4 linked regions of the Rhinolophus ferrumequinum genome follow. Each later gene encodes a partner of the first gene's protein in a complex. Links are inferred from orthologs where the notes say so. Each region holds a gene or a part of one and is shown in the gene's direction. Other genes may lie near its edges. The genes, in order: GEMIN4, STRAP, GEMIN5 and GEMIN2.

Region 1 (7,488 bases):
TGATACTGTGCTGTGCTAACATCTCACTCTAGCACGCCTTGACATTTAAACATTTTTGAAGAAATTATGTCCTCAAACCAAAAGATTTAGTTAACACCCACACACTCCTTACTTTAAAAGTTTACGTAGCCAGAGAAAACAGACGGAAGAATCTAATAATATGTTGTGCTACCTGCCTAGCTCTATGCTGTTTTCTTATATAATTTTTTTTTAAACCTCACAAGAAGAGAACATGTTGAATTTGGAATAAATGATATCTTCAGCCTGAAAAAAGGTTTTTTTTTAATGTCTTCCTATAGTTTGCTGTTTTGTTCTATAGAACAAATTTTGTAATCACTGGAAACAGAATTATATTGGACATATTTATTATTAAATGTGTTTTGAAGATGTACTTCTAAAATCAAGCTGTTAACACCAACCTGTAAGATTCCTTATTTGAAGTGGTGGCCAGGTTCAAATTTTAGGAAGGAAACTGAGGAGCTTGGAAAGGACTGACTCAGAGGATACCAGTTCCAGAGTAATGCGAGTGTATAAAAATGACTTGTAAATCATAGTCTCTCCTCTTCTCCTTTGCTGGCAGGTGGGATATGGAAATTTCAGGGTTTTTGGCTCACCTTCTTACAGGTGATCTTACCTTCTCTGGGAGAAAAAAATCCTTTTCCAGCTTCAAGGCACTTTTCATTCGACTTAAATTTTCTGTCTTAGGGAAGCTATCATGAGTTTCAAAGCAAACCAAATTATGTGTCCTCCAGACATTTGGTTCCCGTTTTTTTCCTGTATGTAGGGAAATTATTGTACGAATTTTGAATGACCAAATAAACCTCTGTGTCTCTTTGGACTATGATTTGTTAATTCTCAGATTTTCTATTAGAGTATTAAGTAAATCTTGATGTTGATCTCTAGTAATACTGTTCTCGTGAAAAGAAACTACTTTTCCCCGTGTTTTAGGATGCTGTGATGTGGCCTTCTAAGTTTGTTACAGTAAAATAAGTGGTTTATGTAAGTACTGAATGACTAAACACATACTAGATTCCTCTTTGTCTGCTTATCTTGTATTTTAACATACATACCCCCGATTTTTTCTCTTAAATGTACAGCTAGCATGATAGAAGTTGGTGCAATTTACCTACCTGGGATATTTGGGCTTTATGATACCGGCCCTCTTTTATTTATCTCATCACCTGTCATTTTTCCTTTGTTGCAATCTTTAATATTTTACTCATCCTAAAACCCTTTCACATACAACTTTGGCCTTTTAAAGGAATCCAGAGTTTACCTCTGCACAGTACAGCTAGTAATTTTAAACCAAAAGTTATGATTACTTTCTCACCTCTGGAAATGGTGTGATCAACTAGAAAACAAAGTTATAAGAGAAATGCTTTTGTCCACGCTGATGTTTTTAAACAGATGACGCTGGAAATTTTTTCATTTTCTCCAGAGTTATTTTTTCAGAGTAATCATTGTTTTTTACTTGAAGGGTCGTGGAGTCCTAGTGTATTAAGTTTAATAAGTTCAAATATCCCTTGAGTTTACATCCAGAGTTTTAGAATGGCTGTGTTGCCAGAGTTCTCCTTGGTTAACCTGGAGAGTTAGTTAGTATGAAATCCATCACTGCCGGATATCTTGGTGGAATTAGCAAAGACATGGACCTTGAGTGCTCCTTTATGTGACTTTCTGCCCCATCCTACCTATCACACGATGCCATTGCGGTTTAGCAGAGTTTTCAGGAGGGCTCAAACTTGTCCACTGAAATGTATGGTAGGAGTTCATGGGAAGTTCCAATGTGGTCTAAGATTTTATTACCGTTACTGGGAAATACATAGGAAATGTATGCAGGCCTAAATGATCAATAAAGAAGTGCGCTTGCCTCAGACCTGTTTGTGAGGTAATGGAGTCAATGGTTCAAAAATCAAAACAATAAACAATGAAAAGTCAATCCCACTATTTATTAAGCATCAAAATACATACTTCTCCCTTTCCCCCACAAAATTCAGCGCGCTGTGTATGCTATACCTTGCTATAAAAAAAAAGTATCCTACAATTGTGCTACATTTTTACTTTATCAGGTTTTACAGTGACTTACAGAATGGTATGGCTATATCTGCAGCTCCTAAATTGACACCATAGTTTAGAGCAAAATATTCCATTATTTTTACTATTCACACTTAATGTGAATCATGGTTTTAAAAGCATTAAAATGTGTTCATAATATTCTCTAACATTTGTACTGTGTGGTTCTTGCCCAGTTTACTGTTATAAGGAATCGTTCTTTAGTCGCTGTGGTGTCCTGGGTATAGACTTCATTCGTAGGTAATATACTCAGTCTATAGCAAATATGTGAACAGAATATCTTGATACCTGGTGAGATTTGGTTTCCTTTGACTTTCCTCTGAAGTATGTATAATTGTTGCTTATGTTGTTTAATGGTTCGTCATGAACTGAAGCCAACCTGAGGTCATGATCTATGAAAATAATTTTTAATTGAAGTATTGGAAAATTCTACACCGTAGCGGATCTTTTGCTCTGAAATGTCTCTAATAATATCATTTACGACTCCATAGCGCAGTGCATCATTTTGCATTGATGCCTCCATTATAATCACTAAGAAGCAGAAGCTGAGCTCGGGCAGTTTGGCCCTTGCATGGATCAAGAGGTGGGTTGTGCCCCTAAAACAAATCTCATGTACATACATGTCCATATTGTCCCACAAACATCCCCAAGTAGAAACCATGATTAGCTACGAATAGTCCCAAGAAAATTTTGGTTGCTAGGCCTTAGATGAATCTTTCAGAGGCTGGAATTTTGAAACCATCTGTTCCAGTGTCTCTCAACTGCTGTGTTGTATCAGTTACTTCACTAAAAGTCTGACTTCCCTCAAGACATTAACTTCATCAGGCTTGTATTCCAGTAGGGGCTTTTAGTAGTAGGACCTGACTTGAGCTTTTTGGAAGACAATGCCCTTTTCTCCTTTATAATATTGGGTTAGTAGTGAAGGGACAGCCCCTGAACAGATAGGGGCCTCAGCCTCCTCTCCTTCCTCCCATCTTGCCAGAAGCTGAGCCTCTCTCACTGACCTCAAACCTTGGACATTTTCATAGGGTGATTCTTCCTTTCCCCGCACCCCCATTCCTGCCAAATATCTCCATATAATCTGGGAATAGGAAGGCTGGGAACTCTTTACTTAGAATCATACCAAAAGCCTGTTTTGATGGAATTTTCCCTAGAGGAGAGATGCTTTTTATACTTTTTGGACAGCTCCCGAGGACTCTTACTCTTGAGTTTATTGCTTTACCAACAGCACTCACTCTCATGCAGTTTAAGTGATTTATTGATGTCTCAGCGGGACATTTCAACCCTCAAGTTCTCTTAAGAAGCCCTTTTCCCCACCAGAGGAGCCATGCTACTTCATTCTGTTCTGCACTTGGTCCCCTTAACCAGCGTCGTTTTTCTTCAGTTCTTCCACTTTAGCAATATAGATCCTCATGGCGTCCATCTTTGACATCCCTTGGTTCTTGTTCCATGCATCCCACTTGGCCTTGGCTATCACATCTGTGGCAGGCGGGGCAGGGATATTGCAGTCGCCCTGGGTGGCCTGTTTGTAGAAGCTGTACACCAACAGTTTCTCCTGATCACTCACAGGTCCCTTCAACTGCTTGATAGCGGCGCAGGCCATCTCAAACTCCGCTTGGCACATTGAGGGATCTGAGGCTGGGCCCCTCGGTCTTTTCTAGGTGATATCTGGTGCTAAAAGCTGGAGAGTTACAAACACTTCAGGCTGAAGAATTAAGTCTGGGAAGAAGGGAAAGGGAGGAGGTAGGGTAATGTGGGAAGAACCCAGGATATTTGTGTGTTCTCAGTGAGAAATCAAATGTGCGTTTTTATAAAGTACGTACACATTGCAGACTGGGGCCTTTTGGGTTGGATGGATCTCCCCCACAGTTGTGGCTCGCACAGTGCCTTTTCTGGGGAGGACAATCCATTAACATTTCAAAAGAGTCTATGATGCCAGAAAATTAAGGAGCTGCTGCTGTCATCTGAAAGAGGAGCTCTGGGGGCGACTGTGAGGCTGTTGGGCTAGGCGGTTTGTGGGTGTGAGTCCGGGAGAGGAAGCCTGTCAGAGAGTGGCGCGTCGGTGCTGGTTAGTGGGCAGCCCGGGGAGGGTCATTCCGTGTGGGTGAACTCTGTGCGGGGGAATCGAGAATGCGAGGCCGGGGACGGAGCTAATGGGTGGGACCCAGTGAGATCAGGAAGCAGGACTGGGCAGGGGACTAGACAGATGGGGGGCTCAGCGGAGACTGAAAATGGAAGGGGCCGGGCCGGGGGAGAGGTAGAAGCGCCGCCCACCGAGGGAGGGCGGAGTGGGTACCGGCCGGCTGGCGGGTTGGAGGTCTAGGGCCGGTAGGGGGCGCTGTGGGCTTGGCCGCCTCGACGCTGAGGGCTCGTTGGTGAGGAGTGCGCGTGCGCGCGGAGCCGAGCGCGGTCTACCGCGGATCGCGCTGAACTGAAGCTGAGCAGGGACTGGGGGCCGGGACTAAGGCCCAGCCTATTGACCCCCCGCCCCCCGGCACCGTCCATTGTGCCGTGGCGCCTGCGCAGCACTCGCCACCTTGAGGGGGAGGGGCGGCCCGCGCCGCCGCCAGCGACGCCGCCATGGATTTAGGTGGGTGTCCCAGCTCCCCTTCCCCTGGCCGGGCTGTGCTGCGTCCCGCAACGGGCAGGAGGGCGGTTCTGAGCGGGCCCGGGCTAAGGGAGGCCCTCGGGGGTCGGGGAGGGGGTGTGGAGGTCGGGGGTGTCCTCGGAGACTGGGGGCCATGAGGCCGGGCTTTAGCGCGGGCCCCACCACTCCTTGGCTGGTCTCTTGCCCCCTCAGGCCACTTTCCAAGTGAAGGGCCAAGCGGAGGTGAAGTTTGATTTCCTGAAAGTGGAGAGGGTTCGTACACGTGCTTTGGAAAATGCCGGGCTGGGAGGACGCCCAGGGGAATCGCGGATGCCCAGACAGTCTCTTTTATTGAACGTCTAGTAAGTTCCAGAGCAAGTGTTTTACGCTCATGAGTTCCTCATCGATAAAACGGGGACGATAATGTATCCACCTCAGAGTTTTAGGGAGTTTTCCTTGAGACCACGTGTGTACAGCGTCCGTTATAGCCCCATGCGCGTACCTGGCGTTCATTAGACTAGCAGTTGTGGGCAGGGGTTGCAGCAGCAGAGAGGGCACGGGCACCGTGATTCAGAATCCTCGGAGGCAAAGTTTGGGAGAAGGGAGGGAGGAGCTGGCATAAATCAGTGGCTCCTTGCCCAGCCTCTCACGCTTCTGGACATGCTCCTAAGGGGTTGAGACCAGGAGCCTGCTCGGGGAGAGCTGGGTGAGGCACCCCAAGCTGTGCCAGAGGACTAGGCTGTGAAGACAAGTTGTGGTCTCTGACCCCAGCCAGCTCTGACGTGGTGGAATGGTAGGGTTGTGAGAGTTTGGCGCCCTACAGCTGTAGTGACTTATTTCTGTCCTGGTGGAACTGCTCTGTAGTTGCAACATCCTGAGCAAATTGTTTCTGAGTCTCAATGTTCCCATCTCTAAAACAGGAATACTACAGTCCTCAAAAGGTTGATTTGAAGATTAGAAGAGATCTTACATGCGTACCACCTAGTGCTATGCCTGGCACAGAGTAAACACTTGATAAATATAAAGGAGTGGGCACTCACAAGCACCAGTTAATCAGTAGTGATAAAATACTTGGTAATTATCCAGCTATTAACTGCTCCTGGGACTTACTCCTTTAAGTAGCACGGGTGCGTCCTTACTGCCTCTGGAAGGTAGATGTTATGGGCCAAACATCTCTGGTGAGCTGATAGTGCAATAAAATTCAATTTACAGAGTCATAGGGAACATATTTTGGCTCTCTGGAGAGCTGCCTGAGCCAGAACGAAATTCTAGAACCTCCAGAGAGACCCCTTAGCCACCTGACCCTCCCTGGGAGTGGGCCTCTGCCACTGGGAGCCAAGATGAATTGCCTTCAGCACTGGGCTGCATAGAATTGCTGATCCTGTGGCCTTTTGCTGCTCCCATAAATGATCGAAGGAGCAGGATATTCTTTAGTCTGCTGGAATCAGGAGTGTATTGGCTCCCTGCCTGGGATGATGGGTTCTTGGGGGCCTGAGGGACTGAGGAAGGGATGGCATCTCTGGTCCCTGGGAAAGGGGAGAGCAGTCAGGATTATTGAACAGTGAGCAGTGTTTGTACTCTGATTTAGTTTCTGGGACAAAGGAAACACCTGAGAAAGAGCTATGTTTTTTTCCTGTTTCTGAGCTGGGGAGGCAAGAAGTAATGACAAGATTCTGGTCTTGCGGACAATGTAAAGGTTTGGGGAAACAAAACATTTACGGAGCACTTCATCAGGCTCTTTGTAGCCTGATTATTGGAGCTCTCTCTTATTTAACCTTCAGCATCTCTGGGAGATGGGATCAGGAGCTAACAGTGAGCGCCATCCCACTACCAAAGGCTTGACTAGTGTACATCATTTGGTTCTCACAGTCATCATATGAAGTCTGTATTATCCCCACATGTGCAGAAGGCGGGGGGCCTCAGAGAAGTCATCTGTCCCAGATCACACACAGCTTTTAAATGGCTGAGCTAGGATTTAAACCATGTCTGATTAAATTCCCAAGATGCCTTCCTTGATAAGTCCATGTCAGTTCATGGCTCACTGAAGGGAGGCCTTTCTTAATGTAAGTGCAGTAGCTTTTGTATCTGTCCCTTGGTTTCTACCAGAGAACCAGGGCCATGAGTAGCCTATGCTCCTTGATTGAAGGAGCTTTGGGGGTGAATCATTTCCTGAAAGGCAGAACGACCGAAACCTGTTTGCAGGACAAGGCTATGAGAGAAAGCAGGCTGTAAAACAAAAAAAAAAAAGGAGAGAAAGCAGGGAAGGTAGGGCTTGTCTGATTGGCTCTGTTCCCACAGCCCTCCGGCTATGCGCCTTTTAGTTTGTATCATCACTTAGAAACTTGGTTGTCAGGTCCTGCAATACATACCTGCAATACATACTTGGCGGCCCCTGTAGTTTGACACTATCCTTGTGCTATCTCTCTAAACCCTTTCTCCCCGAATCCTGTGCTGGCCCATCCTTTGCTGGAAGGTCTAGCCTCAGAAGTCCAGCTTTTCCTGTTCAAATGCTTTTCCTGCAGGATCCATTCACTTCCTTGGTTCCAGTGATCCCCTCTGGGTCACACTTCAAGGCTGATCTTCCTCCTGAGTTTCAAACCTGCATTTCCATTGCTGGAGGACAGCTCTATCTTAATGTTCTACCTCAAACTCCAAATAACCAAAACTGAACTGTGTTCCCTCTAAACCTGTCCTCATTCTCCTGTGTTCCAAATTTCCAATGGTACCTATTGTCTTCTCAGTTCCAAGCTAGAGAGCTTGGGAGTCCTTTATTCCTCAGGTAAGTCCTTTTGACTCCAGCTCTTCAGCGGCTCTTGGACCCATTCCTTCTT
Region 2 (7,039 bases), on another chromosome or scaffold:
GGAGAGAGGGAGGGAAAGCCCTCAGCATTTAGGCCTTCAGATGGCCGCCACTTATTTCGAACTCTATTTCCTCAAACTCTAACGTTCCTCCTACAGACCTTGCTTAACCCTTCACCATCTAGGGGTCCCCACCTATTTTCTCAGGGAAATTCAACTTCTCCCAAGATAAGAAAGGAACCACATCATTGTGTATGGTAAATCACACAAGCTTTGTCCAGATGGTGATGGAGTTTTCCTTGGCCTGGGTTTTGCCAGAGAAACACAGGAATTTTTCAGTGACACCATGGGCTCTGGTTTTATGAGATAAAGATGGTGAGTGATATGATTCCAGATTGATCTCTCCATCACTGAGTGCTGCTGCCATTCTTCGCCTGATTAACGTAAGAACAAGGGCAACTCTCTTCCATGGGTATTAATTTTCTTCCCAACACAACATGACCTAGCATTATATGAGGAAGGTATAATCTTCATACTGATGTGACTTTGACTCTATTCTTTTGGGAAAAAAATAACACCTGAATTCCTGGATATGAATCTTTTGATTTTTTCCCCCGAGCATATCCATATTACTAGAACTATCACTTTAGTTTAGAATCACTCTTTATGAATCATTTAGGGAAAATGGTACCAGCTCTAATGGATTCTTTTCTGACAATGTAATATTTCCTCTCAGGCAAGTGTGGATGATGGGGTAGGGGGATCGCATTTTATCCCATCAAATTATCTGTATCTCTATCTCTACCTCTATCCACAAAACCATGACAGCTGATCTTTCTAGGGTAGAAGCAGAACCAAAAGTATTCATATTCAGTCTCCTGTCTTTGACTTGACATGTAATTTGAGATTTCTCACCCCACAAGAGGCTGATTTCATTTCAAAATCATAAACTAATACTCATTCTTCTAGCTAAAGTTCTAAATATATAGCCAAAACACTTTGTAATAACAGAGGAGAATCAAAAAGAATACACTGACACTGTTCTTATACAAGTAACAGACCAAATTAATGCAACTGTCACCATCTACTGATGAGTGACGTGGGATCTTTCCTTTAAAAAAGTATTGTTTTTAAACAAAATAAACATAAATGTAAATGACAAATAATTACTGAAAAAAGGTGAAATGTGTAAAAATTTCCTGACACTCTCTAAAAATATGAAAAGATGAACTCTATAACAAGAGACCAAAATAATATTAATAATAATAATAATAATAATAATAATAATGTGAAAACAAATGGAGATACAAAGACAGAGTTAAGGGAAAAAAACTGAATAAAAAAAATAAAAGCATGAATGTGTGAAAAAGAATATAAATGGAGCCACTACAAAACAGAGTTGGAGCCACCATCCCAGAGGAATTGCTTGCATGTCTTACTCCTCAAACCTTCGGAATGTTCGAAATGGGCAAAATAACCTTTGGACTGAGCCAAAGCAACACTGTATTCCAAATAAGTGTTTGCAAAACTAAAAGGAAAGTATACATCCTGATTACCACACTGAAAATTAAAAACATTTTTTAGAATTAGCACCACCATGTGTAGTTAAAGAATAACTTAGTATATGTGTACCTATACAAATTTCTTCCTGGACTTAACACCCATAGAAAATCTGTCCTTCTATTCATGTAATTACTGCCCCTCCTTTTGTCATAAATACCCTTGCTTTCCTTTTCTAATTGTAACACTGTTGCGATATCTGCCTGAATCACTGCTTCCCAGAATTGCAATTTTTTAATCTCAAATAAATGCTTCCTGCCTCTGTAACTTTTTAGGTTAATAAATATGAAAAGAACATTTGAAACAGTGAAAAATAATTGACTCACAACAGTTAAAAAAAAAAAAGTGGGAAAAACACCGAGTGCAGTAGGAAAGATGTAACTCAAAGGGAAGAAAGTAAATCAAAATAGGTAACTGTCTGAGACTTTGACACACTCAAATTATTTTCCTGGTCTTCCTGACATGGATGCCCAGCTAGATTATATTTTCCAAACCCTCTTGTGGCTATGTGTGGTCACTAGTCCCATATCTCACCAATGTAATGTGTTATTGAGTTAGGCAAGACATTTGCTTGGACAAGACTTTTTCAGATTTGCATTGTAGTCTGAGTCTCTTTCTATGCGATTCTCTTTTATTTCTCACCCTTTCACAAGTATCAGGCCAGCATTATGGCCTGAAGGCTCTCCCTGCCTACTTCACTCCCTTTTCCTTTCAGCACTCACTTGTACCCGACCTAATAGGAAATACTTTGTGTTTCATTATTAGGTGTGATGTTTCTTAGGATCTTCTATTAGGTCCCTCCTATTTCTAATATCTAGAAGTTTATCATGAATGGAGGTTGAATTCGATCTAAAACTTTTTACATATTAATATTTTTCTTTTAGTCTTCTAATGTGGTAACTATGTTAGTTGCATTAATCTGTCTTCTAATAGTAACTGACCTTTGAAGCCAGTTAATCATTATACATACTTTTAGAACTCAGAATCCAAATGAACAGGAACTATACATTCTTTAGAGCAAAGTAGTTATCAGTTATATGTTTACCTGCATACAATGAGCAATATATGGGCAATATTAATAGTTTACCAAATAGTTGTTTTAATTTGCGTTGTGTTTTTTATTTACCTCCATCAGTAACGCAGTTATTTACACAATCAGTAAACGAGCATTTGTTAAGGACACACTATCCATGAATAAATGCCATTCACTCTTCTGGTACTAGAGCACAAACATGACAAAGCCATAACCATTGCCATTAAAGAGCTCATAATTCAGGTGTGTGAATGGAGTATGTGTATGGGTGTGTTGTGTCTAAAATATCATGTAGAAACACATACAGTAAGTGTGGCACAATAAATGAACAAAATTGTGGAATTTAATTAAGGAATTAAATTCGGGAAGCACTTCAAGTCCCTATTCAAGTCATTGGACTTGAATCGTGAATGATACATGTTCAGCACAAAAAAGATGATGGTGGAGAAGGAAAGATTCACAGACGTTGGTACTAGTTGAATATTTATTGGTATGTGCCAGGACATTAAGGCCTTGGGGATAAAGCAGGGATAATTCACAAAAATCTCTATTTCCGGTTTAAATTATATCATCAATGGAAAGAAACACCATTCCCAAAGAAAGCAACTTTCCTGCTTAGGAAAGCTTTTGTATGAGCAATCAATCAACAGTTCTGGTTGATACACGGAGCAGCAATACTGAATCGGGCTGCCTGCAGGAAGACAGTACCAGAGTTCATTTATATTCAGTTTTTCCAGTCTTCTAATATTACTCTTTTGTTCGTTATAATGTATATGTAATTTACAGTTATCTGTATATCGGGAATGCAGGCTCAACTTTTATTAATGCGAATATTTCCTCAAAAAGGTTTGGGGACCACTGCTCTAGGGTACTCCGAATTCCTCAAAGGAAAAGTAATTGGAATTTAACTGTATTTAAAGCGACATAACACTCATGTCTAAGACACTAGCAATACAGGAATGTCACATAACAGAACGAGTGGCTGGGGAAATTACTTTTTTAAGGGCCTTACTTGTAGACAATCCCAGAGGAAGCTGCTTATACAGTTGTTACAAAAATTGAAAAAAAAGTTCTTAGACTTTGTTTGCAGGTTTGGCCGGCCGCCGTAAGGGGAGAAACTCGGGTTTTACTGTCCTTCTGTCCAGGTACCGACCACAGTCCCACTGGTGGTGTTGCTTGGTGCGTAACCCACGGGAGCCGGCTGGTCCACGGTCTCGGCGAAGCAGGGACACCTTTCGTACCCGGTGAACTCGACACGGCGATAACAAGGCCGTTTACGCCTGGTCAGAGCTCAGCGTGTGGGACTTTGCGAAAGCGCCTAGACTAGACCATCTCCAGGCGCCGTACGAAGCCGGCGCGGGGCGAGCATCACGTGCCCTACGTGCGCTGATCTCGCGCCTGCGCGCTGCTGTCCTACTGGCTCATTAGGGCTCTTCTACCCGGCAAACTCGCCTTCCCTCTGTATCATCACTTCCGGCGGACGCTGAGCGTCATTGGAATCGTCACTTCCTGCCGGTAGCGGTGTGGACGGTGCGGGCCGTGGCCGGGCTTCTCCGAGTCTCCCCTTCCCCTGTTTTCCTTCCTCCCTCCCTCTCCCTCTTTCTGCGGCTGTGGGTGGCCCGTCGCAGACTCCCTGACCCATCCCTAACCTTTTCCTAATTTCGGTGTCACTGGATTGGCCTCCTTTTTCTGTTTTCCGGTCCAGCCCCAGTGTCAGGGCGGGGGCCTTGAGGAGCCAGAGACGCTGCAACTGAGGAGAGAAAAGAAGGAGACGAGACCCCCGGCTCCCCAGCCCGCCAGCTTGGTTCGCCGCCGCCATGGCAATGAGGCAGACCCCGCTCACCTGCTCCGGCCACACGCGGCCTGTGGTTGATTTGGCTTTCAGTGGTATCACGCCTTATGGCTACTTCTTAATCAGCGCTTGTAAAGGTGAGCAGGGCTGCTGATCCTGGTTTCCAGACGTCTGGGACTGGGCCGAAACGGAATGGAGCCGGAACTCCACAGTGCCGGAGGGGTTGTGGGCATCTCAACCTTTGAGATGACGGTCAAAGAGTAGTGTTAGGGGTTCCGTAGCGGCAGCCAGAGGAAGCTTTTCTGACACCTCCGACAAGGCTAGGTATTGCCTCCAACTAAGGCTGCTCATTTTACTTTTATTGCTATTTCTGGAGAAGCAGAACTGTAAACTTGCCTAGACACCTTGGCCGCCAAACTGTAAATATCTTTCAAGGGTTTCGGCAATGGGGAAACGAGACCAGATGAAGGAATACTTTACCAAGACTTGTCCCTCATATTATGTCATTGGATATTCCGTTGTGGTATTAGCCCCATTTTTCAAATGGAGACTGAGATTTAAGTTAACAAGTTTGTCCAAAATAAGACTCGATTCTAGATTGTTCTGTTGCAATTCAGTATTCTAACCAAATTACAGATGCATCCCAGAGAGAATCTCTGGCTCAGTTCTTCAGTTAATTTATGAAGTTAGTTTAGTTGTACGCGTATGTAGTTACCTGTAATTTATTTCTGAACATTCCTTAGTGACCCCAGTGAAAATAGTTTAGACAACAAAAGCAATTTTTCCACTTGGTTATTCATCATGATTTTATGTTTGAATCATAGATTTTAAGTAATTTGAACTTATAAATCACAAGTCTTTTTAAATATTTTTTAGACGGTAAGCCTATGCTACGCCAGGGAGATACAGGAGACTGGATTGGAACATTTGTGGGTCATAAGGGTGCTGTTTGGGGTGCAACATTGAATAAGGATGCCACCAAAGCAGCTACAGCAGCTGCAGATTTCACAGCGTAAGTATAGCCAAAATGGCCAGCTTTGGGGATCTCTGTGGGTTGTGTTCTGAAATAATCAAACTTCAGCCTGTTATAAAATTCTAATTCAATGCATATGAATGTTTGTTCTCACCAAAATTGCACCGTGGTCCTGTCTGCTGCTTTCTCTTCAGTGGTTCTTAACAATTTTCAGAGACTTAAGTGATTTATTTAGCTTGTCTGGACCTGGGAATCTGCATTATTAACGAGCACTGCAGATAGTAAATGTTGGGGGTCATGTTTAGAAATATTGCTCCACCTGTGCTTCCTGAGTGATACCTATAAACTCCTATGACTTTCTCTTGCTAACGGCCCCAGACTTTTTAGCCTGATCTCACTCTCAGTTTTTGTTAACTGGCTTTAGACATATTTAAAACTTCCATCAATTGCTCTTCATTTTCTAAGTTTAAGTTCTTGATATTTCCCTTATATCCAGATTATCTTCGTATTTGTTGATTATACCATCTTAATGCCTCCTGACTACAATGTTTCTTACGCCTCTGCCACTGCCTTAGTTCAGGTCCCTGTCACTAGTCTCTGGTCTATTCATTTTCCATAGTGCTTCCAGTTGTCTTTCTAAAAACAAATTTCATTATGTCACTTCTTTATCTAGTGATCTTCCTGTCTTCCCTCTGCTATTTCAATGGTTCATGACCTTGGGTGTACATTAGAATAACCTGGGGATCTTTTAAAATACTCAGATGCATATGTCTCAGAATTTTTTATTTAATTAGTCTGGGGATGGAGTGCCCAGTATCAGTTTGGTTTCTTCCCCCGTAAAGTTGTCACAGGTGATTTTGATGTGCAGCTTTAGAACCACTGGCCTAAGGATTAAATTTCAGTTGTTGGCACTTTAAGATTCGGCCGCATCCTAGTTCATTAGCATCATCTGGTACTGCATACTATATGCCCTACAACCTAGCTATATTACCTATTTTGATTTTTGGTTTTTGCATATATGTTATTACAGTGACTTGCAATGACCCATTTTTCCCTTCTGGGCGTGTATCATTTTGTATAATCTTTGCATTTCCAGTTTCTAAGTGTATTTGTGACTTAGCAGATACTTAAATGTTTAAACTAATGAAGGCAATATCAAGATCTATTGTACTCGTTCGTATAAAATAGACTTTGTAAGACTTAAGAGTCAGGAGAGTAAAAGTGGTTTTGTTGGTTTTTTGTCTTTAAGACAGAATTTCACACTGAGGAGCAATTGTAAATGTTTTGCTCCTTTGTTTTGAACAAATTAACGTACCAAGTTTATTATGAAAAACAAAGGCAGAGTGATGGTGGTGGATACATGACTGCATTTGTTGAAACTCAAAGACTTCTATACTGCAGTGAATTTTACTGTATGCAAATTTTAAAAATGAAAATTTAAAATGAGAGGGAGATGTAGTGCTTACATGGGATTAAATTAGACATGGTAAGAGATCAGTAAGAAAAGTTGTGTTAGTCTAAACTTTTTTGTGTGTCATCGATGAGTAGATTGCTATTATGTCTTTAGGCATCACCACTATGAGGCTTGTGCTGAGCCCTGTTGCGATTGTACGTAATATTGATAAAATAGGGAAATGCTTGGTTTTATATAAGTTCATTTTATGTCAACAGACAGCTTTAGGTCATATGTTGCTTTAGATGTCAGCGTGCCTATAAGGTGACAGAGACTCCTTTGATTGTTCAT
Region 3 (7,274 bases), on another chromosome or scaffold:
CCTTTACTTTGGAAAAGTCTCTTACAAGTGACTTAACTAAATAGAAAAGGAGGCTGATTTATGTTTCAGTTTCTTATCTTCTGGCTAAGTGTTCTATAGAAGTAGGGCTGACAGATGAAATATGCAATCTCATTTAAGAGTATTGAGTGGTTACTGATTGGTTCCAGCATAATATCTGATTCCTTGGAAAGAACGTCATGACGTTATCATCCCTGTCCCTACATCTACCTACACAGTACCAGGCACTACAACAGACATTTTACTATTGATTCTCTCAATTCTCACAACCACCCTCTAACGTAAATATTATTCTCATTTTTTTGAGATGAGGAAACTGAGCCTCAGAGAAGTTAAGTAAAATGTTAAGGGACAATATTTGTCCCTGGTAGAGACCAGCTCTATCTTCTGTAGCCCACTGTTTATTCAAATACATCACACTGCAGTAGTCATTTTTCCACCAAACTGCTAATGCACGACATTTTCAACTTTTTCTTGTGGGGAGTTTTAACCTATGTACATCTCAGTCACTAGTGTCTTCAAAGTTTTACACTAGCCCTTCTATTTCTAAACCACCAAAATGTATTCTTCATTCAAAACTTAAGTCACCTCTTCCCAAAAAAACTCCCCAGAAAATCTCTTCTGAGCCCATCACTCTCTCTCTCACATGGTGTGGGAGAACACTAGTGAAAGCCAGAGAATTTTTTGTTTATTCCTAGGTTTGCCATGTATTAACTCTGTAACCTTTAGTAAGTCACAAAACTTCTCAAATGCATCCATCAGTAAAATGGGAGAGTTGGAATTCAACAGTTGGAAAACTGCCAGCCTGCTACCAAATATAGCCTACAGAAAAGTTTTATTTGGTCAGCAGCATTGTTTCCTTAATCCAACTAAAAGCCTTCATATGAGGAATGCACTCTACGGACTGCCGTAGGCCCGACCACTCTCTCATTTTACATGGACCGCTTCTCCTAATTCATTTATTTCTATTATGTGTCTGGCAGCCATTAAAGTTTCCAATCTCTGAATTAGATGATCTCTAAGATTTTACACAGTTATCATGAGCATTATTTATACCTTTTCTACTTAGTTTTTATGTGATCATTTCCCATTAGAAAATCCAGAATAGGGATTCTTATAATTATGTAACTTCAGAACTAGAAAGAGCCTTAGAAATTATCTAGAAAAATCAAACCGTCTTGTATGATAAGGATAAAAAGACTGAAGCCAAATTGCTTAAGTTACTTGCTCAGAGCTTCCCAGTATAAATCAGTGCAGGGCAATTTAAATCAACAAACAGTAACAAAATACTCACTTTGCGCAAGACTCTATGTTGGAGCTCAAAAAAAAACCAAGAACTGACCCTACCTGTCCAGGGGACATAAGCTAGTAAAAGCTCACAGACACGTATACGTGAAGCGACTATTCAAGGCAAACATGCGAAAAAAGGAGAAATTTATTTCATTTTTAGTGAGAGCTGAGAAAACCTCCTGAAGGGGAAACATCTGAACAGGATTTTAAATAATCAGGAGTGCTGTGATAGACAGCAAGTGAGGGTCGAGCATGAAAAAGCCAAGTGTCAAGTAAACGCACAACATATTCAGAAAAAGTAAGTAAAGCAGCATGGCTGGGATGGAGTGATAGAAGATAATCTAAGAAAGCAAAGTGTAGACAAATTCTAAGGGCCAGCGCCCACTATTTTCTTCTTTAGCCCGCCTCATCCTCCCCCTGACCCAAGAACCCAGGACAGAGCTAAAAGTAATGGGAACTCAATAATAATTTATAACAATAAAAAACAGCAAGAGCAGCTAAAATTTAGGGTGGGATTATTATATGCCATACACTGTATTACATACTTCCTATTATTCAATCCTCATTTAAAAAAATCTCACGTAGGTAATAATACTTCCATAGCATATGAGAACTGAAACTTAGAGATAAGTAACTTTCCCCCAAATCACACAGTTAAAAAGTAGATTCACACATGACTTAGCTGTCTCTAAAGCGTATATAAACCAAATAAAGGCTAACAAATGCACTGATCAGCAAATTTACAATCAAATTATCAATCTCCAAATATCGATCACTGTACTGCAAAAGAGGGACAATGAAAAGGAGAAAGGGAAAGGCTTCTTTTGAGTCCTGACTCAACTGCATTCCTGAACCTTAAAGAACAGTTTTGTCCTGCGGTCAAAGGACGCTCTGAGGGTAGTATAAAGCTTCAAAACTTCCTATAACTGGGGGACCTTAGGCAAGTTATTTTACTTTTTGGAGCTCCAATTTCCTTGTCTGAAAGATGGGTATAGCAGTATATATACTGCATAGGATGTTATGAGAATGATATAACGCATATAAAGCATGTCATACAAGGCCCGAGGTAAGCCGCGGCTGTCTATAATAGTCCCGGCTCGAGTAAACAAATAACGAGAGAGATAACTAGAAAAGTTGGATGTTCCAACATGGCTGGGAGAATCTAACCACGTTCAGAAAGATCAGAAGAGACTGTTCAGAAAAGACATTTACAATATCCCTTGGGTAACAGGTCATCCCGATCCCTTGAGGGCTATGCAATACGGCGGCAGAACGATAGGGTGACAAAGCAAAGACTAGCTGGCACCTCCATGGCCCCAGAGCCTAAAGCAGAGCCTGGCACATAGGCTCTTAGCGATTGACAGACTGGTAAGGAGGCCTTGGGCCCTTCTGCTACTCCGAGGAGACTTACCCCACGGCCAGCTTCCCCCTCAGATTCTGCATCCATAACGTACCTGCAATATAACACAAGCCGTCAACGCAGAGTCCCACTTCCACTCCCTTCTACCGCCCTTTAATCATTAAGAAACTCTTACCCAAACGTTCCAATATTCCTGCCGCCATCTTCCTCCCACCCTCTACGGAAGCCTCCGAGTTCATGCACCGTCCGGACAAGACGCATGCGCAATTCCCCGCATTTCCTCCCCAGCTGAAAACCCAGCAGTACCCGCGGTGTTGTCATGGAGACTACAAACACGCTGCCGGCGCTTAAAGTGTGATCAGCCTAACCTTGCTTGGGAATGAATGATTTAACGAAGGCCGAAAACTAGTGAGTTTCCGGAAATTCACCGGGATCCAGAAAAAATGCGAAACCTCACCACACAAATGGTCTGAAAGGATTAGGAAAACAGACCGTGAATGAGCCACCTAACCTGGGTGGGCCTCAGGTTTACTAGCCAGCAAAATAGTCAGAAATAATTATCCCTACAGCACAGTTTTGTTGTAAGATTACTAGAGATCATGTGAAAAGCTCTTTTAAAAAAAAAAAGCAGTTCAAATACAAAGTATGATGTCTTAATCCCTATTAATTTCCAGGTTGACCTACAAGAGATAAAAATTAATCATCGGGCACTTGCTACCATATATGTCCAGCAAGCATTTCACTAAATCTCAAATATTCCTCACAGCAGCCCAACAAGTCATGGATTATCATCCTCTTCAAATAAAAAAACAGATTTAGAATAGATTAAAGTCTCTTAGATAACAACTGGCAAAACCACGTAGTAGTCAATCTAGATTGGAAGGCTCCAAAATTAGTGGCCCTACCCACATCCAAATATATGTCTGACCTTTCTATTATTTATTAGATCTCTCAGGTTTCGTTTGCTACATATGTGGGAGTGCCAGATAACCAATGCAAACAAGCAATACAGGCGTAAGACAGCGTAAGCGCAGAAGTCTGAGCATTTGGGCATGTTTGATTTGGAAGGACACTGCCATTCTTTTGCCTCCACAGCAACTTAAGTAGGCATCTGGTCAAATCAAGAGTCACTCTATTCTGCAAAAGAACCCAGAGCCTGCATTTCCCAGTTGCACAAACTCTTTCCTTGTTGATTTCTGATTCGAACTTTTACATTTTTGTTCATTGGCTTCTTGTAGGAATCTTTAAAGCATCTTCAGAACTAGCAAAGTGCCCGAGCACACAGTGTTCAACTACTGATGAGACAGTAATTGAATAGGTCCAAAGAAAAAACCCGCGGTGAGAGAAGGTGATTCCACCAGTCTAACCCCTTAATTATGTACCTTGGCTGTAGGAGGCGAGAATGCCTAAGCCCAAGGCTAGGCTCAGGCAGCATCAAAGCATCCCGCCGAGGGCGAGGTTGGGAGGCAAATCGCCCAGAACGCGGCCCCGCCCTTCCAAGCTCCGCGGCGGCGGGAGAGGAGCGCGTGGTGCGGCCTGGGCCTCTGCGCGCGCCGTAGCAGCAGGCCCGGGGAGGCGGGGCTCCACGCTGACCCCGCCCCCTTCCCAGTTACAGCGTGGGGCGGTGAACGGTCTGTCCTAGCGGCTCTTTCCCTCATCATCCCTGGTGGCCCGTGATCATGGGACAGGAGCCGCGCACGCTGCCACCCTCCCCTAACTGGTACTGCGCCCGATGCAGCGATGCTGTGCCCGGGGGCCTTTTCGGGTTCGCGGCGCGGACCTCGGTCTTCCTTGTCCGCGTGGGCCCGGGCGCAGGCGCGATCCCTGGGACGCCCTCCTTTCGAGGTAACTCATTACCCGTTTCCCGCTTTTCCTGCACTTCTGGTGTTCCCCTGAGGCGCCGATGGGTGTCTTCAGCCATACCTCCGCACAGATGGGGAAAGTGAGGCCCCAGCAGGGAGAAAGGTTTGCTCACAATCCCCGAGCTGAGTCCTGTCCTGATCTCCCAGTATTGAGCTACACCACGCTGTGCATGAGCGGTCCCACCTCCCGGCGCTCTCACGTGGGCCTGCTCGCTTACTGAAAAGTTATCCAGCTCTAGACCCAGGCACTTGTAACATTTGTAGCCTTCCTCTCCCACCCAGTGCGGGCAGACCCCCTAGGAGCCTCCCTGGGGTTAGGAGCTGCTTACAGCGCCAAGCCCTAAGCAAGATCCTGCAAATATTTGATACTTGTTTCTTTCAGATTAGAAACTAGATTTTGATTATTCCTTGGGATATGGCAGGCCAGATAGTTATTCTATTCCAAACCACCTTGGCCAGATCTAAGAATCACATTCTTCATTTGAGCTGCTCCTCAGCCTGTGAACTAGGCACATCAAGGGGTATCAACAACATTTTACAGTTGAGAAAACAGACTCGATGGGATAAAATGACTCAGGTGAAGTCATGTGGCAGAGCCAGCACCAGTATTTGAGGTTTCTGGATGTTTGTGTTACACCAGGGGACAAGTGAGATCCCACACATCATCTAACAGTGTGGTTCTGCCGGAAATGGAAGGTAGCACTTTAATCTGAAGTCTGATTTTGCTTGAAGTCATAGGGGAGTTGGTGGGACACACCGAAAGGGTCTCTGGCTTCACGTTTTCTCCTCACCCGGGTCAACACAACCTCTGTGCCAGCAGCTCCGATGATGGGACTGTGAAAATCTGGGATGTCGAGACAAAATCAGTGGTGACAGAACATGCACTCCATCAGGTACCATGGCTTACTGTTATTACATAGCTGTGCTGAGGGTTCTTTTGCTTCAAGTATAGTTTTGCTAGCTCACCTGTGCAAGATAACTTTTGTAATTGTGTTCATTAGATAAGAAGCTCTACATTGTAAGAAACTTTTTAGGAAGGAGATCAGCGAACTAATTGCACTGCTGCCTGTTTTTTTGGAAACTGTTTTACTATAATACAGCCACAGTCATCCATTTAAATATTGTTCACACTTTAAGTATTGACTATATCCACAGAGTTGAGTTGAGTTGAGTTTTAACAGAGACATTGTGGCCCACAGGTCTAAAATACGAAAAAGACTCCTGATATAAACTATAAATGAGTGAACCAGAAAGTTCTTTCTAAACCAGATGATTACTTTGTATACCTGCCTTTTGAGAGAATGTGGGAAAAGAGTCACTTAATCTTAGTAAGAACTTTGCATTAAGCTATTAAAGAAAGAAATTATTTTAAATGACTCTATGTTGGTTTTGTTTTGAAGCATACAATATCAGCATTGCATTGGTCTCCTCGAGTAAAGGACTTAATAATATCTGGAGATGAAAAAGGAGTCGTTTTCTGTCACTGGTTTAACAGAAATGACAGCCAGTACCTCTTTATAGAACCCAGAACAATTTTCTGTCTTACTTGCTCACCTCATCATGAAGATTTAGTAGCTATTGGGTGAGTACTATACCATCTGTATTGATAACTTATTTTTGCTTCTGATTGTATTTTGCATTTGCTTTACCTTCCCCTGTCCCTTTATTCCTCAAAGGAAACCATTTACAGGTGTTAACCACTCCCCCTGAGCCCTTGGTATCATTTATTCCTGTGACCTCCAAGTCCTTACCACCTCTCCCAGTCTCAGTTTTTGTTTCCTTGATTTCCACAATACTGTAGTTTTCTCGTTCTTCACATTTGATTTCTCCAGTCAACCTCCAAATGTAGGAATTATCCTCTTTTAACTTTTTCTCCCTCTGTACTTGCCTTTGGATATAACATTTACTACCAGAGAGTCAAATGACTCAGCTCTGTCCCTCTGTTTCTCGGCTCTCCCTCTAGATTGGGAAAGTGATCTGGCATTGGGATTTGACTCCTCATTGGTCACCAAGGTGATTTCACACGAGCTGCCTGAGTGGGCCTCCCGCTTTCTCTCACCACTCCATTTACTTCTCTCCCAAAGATGTCCATTTCGTCTCGTTTGAAAACTGGTTAAACACTAGAGTGTTAGAAGAGAAGGTCTGACTGGAGTGGATTCAAGAGACTGGGGGGTACGGTAGTAAAGATACACATGGAGACCACGCTTTCACACGGTTGTAAAGATATGCATTGACATGAAGCCAGAGGGAGTAATGGGGGTCAAGGGAGTAGTAAACAGAAGATAACAAGGGCATGTTTTTATACTGATGGAAATGAGACAGAAAGGGGAGATCTTGATGCAGGGACAAATCGTGATAAATATAGGAGCAATGTTGAGAAGTCAAGAAGGGACTGGACCCAGATCACAAGTAGAACAGCTGAGACTATGGGAATGGGTACAGGTATGTGTGTAGTTCTAGTTGGAAGAGGAGGGTGCTTCATTCTGATGGCTTCCGATTTTCTCTGAGGCATGAAGTCAGAGAGGTGGAGTCAAGTTCAGGGTGGGAATGGGACTGAATGCAGGAATAAGGTATGAAAACAGTCATCTCAGAGAACAGGACAGTGAACTTACAGAGGGAAATGCTAGGCCCAGTGGTCCCTGTTGAGCGCCACGCTAAGGATCGTGGTCATGACTTGAAACTATTCAAGCCGGTTGAGAAAGGAAATGGTTGGATTCAATCAGGTTTGGAGTTCTGTGAAGTAA
Region 4 (7,464 bases), on another chromosome or scaffold:
CTGGTGAAAGCGCTAACTCTCCCTGTTCTGTTACCCCCATGGAATGGCGCACTGGTTGAGGGTCAGGTGGATGGGCACAAATGTGGAAGTCTGGAGATCTCTCACTCTTGAAGAAGCCCCAAACAAAAAGCTCCTGCAGATTTATGGAATGGGGATGGAGAGGTATTAGGAATAGAAAAGTCTGGATACTGAGTCTGGAAAGTTTCCAGGTAAGGAGACCTCCAAATAGAGACACCTGGGCCAGGAATGCAGCTATGCATAAGAGCATGGCGGGTTAGTGGGGCCTGAGCCCTTGACTGCAATTCCCTTCAGAGACCGCCATGCACTGGCTGGATGCACCAAGTCTGGTGTGGGGAGGGCAGTTTTCCCCTGTGAAGCCTGCCAGGTAAAGCCTTTGTAATTGCATAAAGTCAGGCCTGAAAAATCACACATAAGTTTTTAACCAGGAGCTTACTGCTCAGAATTATCCCCATTTCCTGACAGCAAAGCTCCACTGTCCCCAAATCACCAAACAAAGCCCAAATCCTATAATAAATATGTTAGTTCTAACACCCTCTTACTGAGACATCTTCCAGTTTCAGTAATCATGTGACTAAGGAGTGTTCTGGTGGAAAGAGGATGCTCCATAAGTATTAACTATATACATACAGCTCCATTTCTCAGAACCCTGTCCAGCACCATCCATCCCCTACTTTCTATGCATCAACCATACTGACCTTTTTCCAATTTTTCCAACAGAACCTACTTCCTCCAGCAATTAAGGCCTTGAACAAACTCTCCTCTACCTGCTGAGACTGAATATACAAATGGGCAATGGTCAGACCATAAGTGGAAAACTAGAACTCCGACCCACAGTCTGCAGCAACCATCCCAGGAAATCAAACCAGTGTTCTACAGTAACTAGCCTGGGAAACCAGCCTGCAATAAGTCAAACTTACAGGAAGTCAGAGTGGTATCTCCAGCAACAATCCAAGAAGCCAAACAATAACCCCTGTAATAATTGTCCCAAAATAGTCAGGATTTGATTAATAATTGACAGATTTCCTAATTTTTTTCCCTGTTTCCAATTTAGGACCAACCAAAGAAAACCAAATACACACCCTTAACCAATTTCATAGGGTGTCCCACTTCTAAGTAGAATAGGGGTTCAGAGCATGCCACCCCAAAATATGCCACTTTGACATATTATTTTAAGTTAAAGGTACTTGGAAAACAGCAGATGCAAGATGGGTGCTTGGACCTTCCTTTTTCTTCCTGAAAGCAGGAGATAATACTCCCATGTGAAAGGTACACCTCCCTATACCAGAAGGAAGGAAAACATTCTTACCATTAGAAATGGAGATTCAAGGCCAAGATAAAGCTATACAAACAAATCTTATTCAACTAACCCTTATCTTCTTAGTTACTTTTCCAGAATTATAATAACTTCCCTAGCACAACCCCCTTTGTCATGTTACATGTTCACAATTTACTATTCTTTGTCCAACCTAGTATGTAAGCTTTGGGCCCTAACTTCTTTGGGCCTGGATTTTTCTTGTGAAGGCTCCCATGTACATGTTAAAATTACTGAATAGAATTTGTGTGCTTTTCTAATGTTAATCTGTCTTATATCAGTTTAATTCTTATGCCCCGCCAGAAGCCCTAAGAGGATAGAGGAAAAGTATTTTTACCTCCCCTATAGTAGCCCACCTCCAACTTCCCCAAGCCAAGAGCCTCCAACCAGCGCATACACAGTCTTCCCCTTTTTCCAGTATAAAGCTTTCCTACTCCTCTTCCTGACTTTGAGTCTTTGCCAAAATTCAAGTAGCAGTGGCTGACTCCCTTTCTATAGCAAGCTCTGAATAAATAGCCTTTGCTTGTTCTTATTCCTTAGTCTTCATTTATTTCCCTACCACAAGACTCCTCCATACCCCATCCCCTCAAGATTTTCCTTAATAGTTCTTATCACAGTTAACATTTAAAATTCATTTGTATCATTGTTTAACATCTCTCTGTCCACTAGACTGTAAGCACTAGGAGAGAAGAAGATCATTGTAATTCCCAATGCCTACCATAGTGCCTGGCACATAAGAGAAAACTGATAAATATTAATTGGATGACTGAATTAAATTTTCATGGTATAAAAAGGCAAGTGAAATTTTAGACTGTGGCCAAAGTAAAAAGAACTGAGAAAGTACGCTTAGAAGAAATTCTAGTGCGGTAGATATTGAATAGGAAGGGAAAGAATAAAATGGATGGCCTAAGCTGTGTCTCTCACTTGGAATGCTTCTTAAAATGTCAATTTCAGAGCCCCACATCCAATCAACAGAATCAGACCTCTCTGGAGGAGAGAGTTATAGAACCCAGGAGTCTGTATTGTAAATAATTTCTTCCAGATAATTCTTATATACACTAAAATTTGAGAATAACTGGGTTGCTTAAGGGGATATAAAACACAGCGACAAATTTGCACTTACCTGTGTAAGGATGACTTAACAGATGCCACCATCATCAATAAACAGTGTTGATTGTTCTCATAACCCTCATATAACTCCTACAACCAACCACCAATGTAAGAAATACTGAAATACAAAAAAATCTTTCCGTTGTAAACTGAGAAGTAACTGGAAATCTTTGAAAACGGCACCAGAAATAGTTCAGAATCTTAGGAATGGTTCTTCTTAGGGAGAGCTTAGATGAAATAGTTATTATTTTAAAAGTTCAGCTTTCCAAAAATTAAGCATTTTTTTCAGAATAACTTCATCAACCAAATATAGCTACTCCTCCGCTGTCCCATATCTTACTGAAACTATCAAAAATATTTAATTCAATTTCCAACTTATAACCATATTAAAATTTGTTCCAAAACTCGTTATTCATTCTTTTAAGTCAGATTAGTTTTGAAGTAACAAAAAGCAAAGCTTATAAATTTTTAATTTACTTTCCTCTCTCCTGAATGAATTCATGCCTGTGTATTTAAAATTTTAGAATCATTTCAGAATCATTCATTTATTACTTACGTCTTTTGTAAAATAGTGTATTATTATTTCCCAGAACAACCTTTGTTCATTCTGCTATTCCTCTCTTTTCTTCCTTCATCCATGTGTAGTTCTGTCACGTACTTACCAGTCGTATATATGCAGCCCAGTGTTAAGCATTGTTCCACTGGTCGTTGGTCTACTTGGTAATTACCTGTTCTTTATTTCCAGAAAAATGGGTGAGGGGAAGTGAATTGCTAATAAGTTAGCTTCCCCAAAAAAAAATATTTATAAGAAAACCCAGAAATAAAGTCGCTGCTCATTTTTTCTTATTTTGTTCTTGATTATTACCAAAAAGTTTGGGGATGGGAGTATTTCTCCATAATCCTTCCCTCTAAGTCTGTTTCTTCCAAAATCAGTAACATTTTTAACCAAATAACTTCTACTTTGACTGCTGTGAGGCAATGTCTTTCCATGTCTCCCAATTGCTTAGTAACCATTCATACACACTAAGTCTTTCGTTTTTAACATAAGGACTAGCCTCACTATTTATCTTCAATTAAGTAAGTTACATTCTGGTTTCTAAATCAATTGCTAAAGGCAGTGCTTTAAAAAGAAAAAAAAAGCAACGCCTTAGTCATAAATATAAACGTTAGAAATAAGTCAATTGTATTCACTCAGAGCTTGTTTAGAAAGATTGAGATAGAATATTTTCATTATTTCTTGCAATTTATGACCCAGTTAAAGTTAAACTAGTTCTGCTTTAAACAAAGCAGAACGTGTAAAATGGAGACAATAGTGTAAAATGGAGACAATAGTATTCGCCTCACAAGATTGGCCCTAAGATTAATAATGGTGATTTCTGGGTATTGGCATTAGCTTTATCCTTTGCACTACTTATATTTCAGCAAAGAGATCTTTCTGAGGGGGTAAAAAAAGCGATGGCTACTCTAGGAGTGATATTCATTTCAGACAAATATAAAGTGATCTTTGAAATAGCCAAGCACAAGAAATTCCTCTGGAAAATCGGTTTTTCGTTTACTCGGCGTCAGAAAAATCTGGGTTGGAACTGGCTCTTCCCCTTTGGGAAAAAGTCACGGTTGTAGTACTTAACCACTCTTTCGGTCGATTTTTCTCCCTTACGAAACCGGTATGATACCTACTTCAAGAGGTTGTAAAACTTAAGTGAGGAAATGTGACCTGTCTGCCAGGGTTTAAGAATTGAGAGATCAATAAAAGATAATTACAGTAATGTTGCTCATTAATTAAAAAAAAAATTTAAGAATCCCTCGCTACTAGGGATACCTAAAGGCTAGTAAGCCCCAGTCTTTACCCTACCTAGCCTTGGAAGAGAGAACAGGACAAAAGAGGGAACACGCAGAAACATCTCAGAACCACTCCCGCAAGGAACTAAATTCGCAGTCTTCCTTACACCACCGGAGCCTTAACCTTGAGACAATGAGCAGGTTTGCTCATGCGCATTAACACTCCCTAAGCCTCGCCGCTTGCTCCACTCTGCGCCAAAGATGCCTACTTGTGCGCCTGCGCTGTGACCTAAACGTGGGACTGGCTGGATTGGAAACTATGGCGTGGGTACCAGCGGAGTCTGCAGTGGAAGAGTTGATGCCCCGGCTGTTGCCAGTGGATCCCTGCGACTTGACAGAAAGTTTCGATCCCTCCGTACCCCCGAGGACGCCTCAGGAATACTTGAAGCGGGTCCAGTGAGTGATTTGGCTTGTGCGGGTGGGCTGTTCGTCCTTCCTGCTCCAGAGCACAGCGCCCGGTGCTTTGCGGGACCCCTAGGTTTGCTAAAGCCCCGCCTCTGTTCCGGTCCCCAACCTCCTGCAAGTTCGGATCGGAGCAAGATCACTTGTTAGCATTTTTAGGTGGACGAGTTTCAGTGAACTTAATTATATTAAACTTGATTATACATGGCAAGATGTGTGCTCTTAGATTTCCTTGCTTTCAATATAATTTCAGAAATACATTAATTAGTACCTCAATTGCAATTCTGAACTTTTTGTCTGATATCATAATAAACTTTAGAAATGGATAGCTTGTTTAACTGCAGATGAGCAAAACTCAATAGTAATTACATTTCTTGCATTTATTATTTATAGGATCGAAGCAGCTCAATGTCCAGATGTCGTGGTTGCGCAAATTGACCCAAAGAAGTTGAAAAGGAAGCAAAGTGTGAATATTTCCGTGAGTTTTATTACCCGTCAGGTGACTTTTTTACCACTACAAATGAAAAAAACAAAGCTGTTCCTATAGTATCCAACAGTATCAATTACGATGTAGGTCAAATTTGACTGCCCCTACGAAGTTAGACATTTGTTTGTATTACTTTTTCCCCTTCAAGGACAGTTGACATTTACTGCCGCCAAAGAGGCTTTAAGTAACCCTGGCATTCATGGAGATTTGCTCTTCATACTTTCAGGACATGATCCAATCCTAAAGAAGTCTTTAAATAGGTTACTTATGCTGTCCTTTATTTTGAAGTAACCTTTTTCCAGTTGTCTTCATAATTATTGTTGGACTGTTTAATCTTAGTGCAGTTTGCATGGTCTAATTTTCATTATGTTTTGTTTTTTAAGACTTAGAAACCCAAATATCTTACACTTTTTTTAGCTACTTGCACACTGTAAACATTTTCATTCATTTATCCAGCACATTTTTTACTAAGCAAGTAGGTTGTGCCAGGCACTAGAAATATAACCAGGGATGATGAAACAGAAAAGGTCCCTACCCTTGTGGAGTTTACATTCTCCTGAGGAAGACAGGGTAAACCAGCAAACAAGTGAAATAATTACATATTGTGACTATTGATATGAAGAAAATTAACATATAATGATCAATAAATAACAAGAAGAATTACTTTTCTTTTTTTTCAGGTAGAACTACTTTAGATTGTCACAGAAGGTCTCTCCCAGGAGGCAGTATTTAATTTAAAGTCAAAGGAAAGCAGCAGTTTTAAATTGTGATTATTCCTTTTCGTTTTATGTTCTAAGTAATTCCCTTATCAGATGTTTATAATTAGGAAATTTTAATATTTCATATAATTCCTTTTTAGAAGTTTTTAGTTGGTGGGAGATGATGTCTTATATACCTGGCTTTAAAAAGTGACCTCACAAAGTTTTATTTCAAGGCAGTGTGTGATCAGTTGTGAACTGTATGCTGTTTTTGGAAAAAGAAGTAGACATTTTAAAGTCAGATATCTTAAATTATTTGAGTACATTCTGACTATACCAAAATTTTTTATCTGGGATATAGCTCTTTTTTTTTATAGCAAACTGTTTTTGCTGTTATAGAAAGGTAGGGCTAGATTGTGTCTTCAAGACTCATATCATTTAGATTTCTTAGAAACTGCAACTGTAAACCATTCCAGATTGCTGTTATTAAAGTGACTCTATAAGGATCTTTTCCTAACATTTTAAACTCACACAGAAATAGTAAAATGAAATTCCTGCTCTTTTGCATGAGCAAGAAGTACTTTATTTTTCTTGTACAGTCTTAATCATTTACTTTCTTGTTCACTGTTCATATTGATTTTACTTGGCAGGGGCATGAGACTCTAGTTATAACACTAACATTGATGGTAAAAATTATGAACTGATCTCTAGCTTTCAGGATGCCAACCTGCTCCTGAAGGATATTCCCCCACACTTCAGTGGCAACAGCAGCAAGTGGCACAGTTTTCAGTTGTTCGACAGGTAAGTGTACCTTAATCTTTTAATCAAATTAAACACTACCCCTCCCTCCCTCAGATTTATTTCTGTTCTTAGATTTTAGTTGGGAAAATGAGGTTCATGATTCTGAAGAATAAAGAAAAGAATATTTAAGAATCAATTACCAAATTATTATTATAATGACTAGATGTAATAGTTTGAAACATATCTTCCCAGTTGTAGAATTGTTAGAATGTTGTGCAGCACTTTATTTCTTTTCAGTTATCCATTCTCTGAAGATCACTGTCTACCTCTTCTTCCTTTAGAGTGTGAACAGACATAGAAATCACTGGAAATCACAGCAGTTGGATAGTAACGTGACCATGGTATGTAAGTTTCTCTGTTGAAGTTATACAGTGTATACCTATTTGAAATTGTCCATATTTACTTCCAGTCTTTAAAAATTACTTACCTAGTCCATATAATTTTCATTCCCTCCCATCTACCATTAATAGTAACAATTTCATTATATTAGTAGCCTGAAAAGTATAGAATCAGCAATGCAAGCTTTTATTTTTATGACACTTTTAATCCACAACATCTTCAGAGACTTTGGATGGGTAATTGTTAGGCCCCTACAAGTTTTTAAGTTTCTTCTAGACAGTTGTTTTTTAGGAAATAAACACATTTTCAGTATTTACAAAAAGATTGAATAAAGGCTCATTGGATTTTCCTGGTGAAAGAATGGTGCCAATACCAGTGACTTTTTACTGAAGCCTGTCATGCATACCGGAAAGTAGTATTTCCTACATTTTATCAGCTTAGATATAATATTAAGC

What was found.
Region 2: GEMIN4 (region 1) and STRAP share a complex: the UniProt entries of both Homo sapiens proteins name them as parts of the SMN-Sm complex. The link is inferred for Rhinolophus ferrumequinum from reciprocal best matches to the Homo sapiens genes GEMIN4 and STRAP.
Region 3: GEMIN4 (region 1) and GEMIN5 share a complex: the UniProt entries of both Homo sapiens proteins name them as parts of the SMN-Sm complex. The link is inferred for Rhinolophus ferrumequinum from reciprocal best matches to the Homo sapiens genes GEMIN4 and GEMIN5.
Region 4: GEMIN4 (region 1) and GEMIN2 share a complex: the UniProt entries of both Homo sapiens proteins name them as parts of the SMN-Sm complex. The link is inferred for Rhinolophus ferrumequinum from reciprocal best matches to the Homo sapiens genes GEMIN4 and GEMIN2.

What each region holds. Positions count from the first base shown.
Region 1 is NC_046304.1:16,944,365-16,951,852, reverse strand, and holds the start of GEMIN4 (gem-associated protein 4), read left to right. Parts: upstream 1-4,465; 5' UTR 4,466-4,650; coding exon 4,651-4,660; intron 4,661-7,488. Other genes in the region: diazepam-binding inhibitor-like 5, read right to left, coding at 3,431-3,694. UniProt on the Homo sapiens protein: The SMN complex catalyzes the assembly of small nuclear ribonucleoproteins (snRNPs), the building blocks of the spliceosome, and thereby plays an important role in the splicing of cellular pre-mRNAs.
Region 2 is NC_046293.1:29,905,123-29,912,161, forward strand, and holds the start of STRAP (serine-threonine kinase receptor-associated protein), read left to right. Parts: upstream 1-4,022; 5' UTR 4,023-4,347; coding exon 4,348-4,459; intron 4,460-5,198; coding exon 5,199-5,334; intron 5,335-7,039. UniProt on the Homo sapiens protein: The SMN complex catalyzes the assembly of small nuclear ribonucleoproteins (snRNPs), the building blocks of the spliceosome, and thereby plays an important role in the splicing of cellular pre-mRNAs.
Region 3 is NC_046307.1:25,753,414-25,760,687, reverse strand, and holds the start of GEMIN5 (gem-associated protein 5), read left to right. Parts: upstream 1-4,256; 5' UTR 4,257-4,347; coding exon 4,348-4,513; intron 4,514-5,262; coding exon 5,263-5,423; intron 5,424-5,930; coding exon 5,931-6,112; intron 6,113-7,274. Other genes in the region: MRPL22 (39S ribosomal protein L22, mitochondrial), read right to left, coding at 2,720-2,762, 2,844-2,907. UniProt on the Homo sapiens protein: The SMN complex catalyzes the assembly of small nuclear ribonucleoproteins (snRNPs), the building blocks of the spliceosome, and thereby plays an important role in the splicing of cellular pre-mRNAs.
Region 4 is NC_046289.1:86,467,708-86,475,171, forward strand, and holds the start of GEMIN2 (gem-associated protein 2), read left to right. Parts: upstream 1-4,449; 5' UTR 4,450-4,541; coding exon 4,542-4,678; intron 4,679-5,077; coding exon 5,078-5,183; intron 5,184-6,580; coding exon 6,581-6,670; intron 6,671-6,951; coding exon 6,952-7,011; intron 7,012-7,464. UniProt on the Homo sapiens protein: The SMN complex catalyzes the assembly of small nuclear ribonucleoproteins (snRNPs), the building blocks of the spliceosome, and thereby plays an important role in the splicing of cellular pre-mRNAs.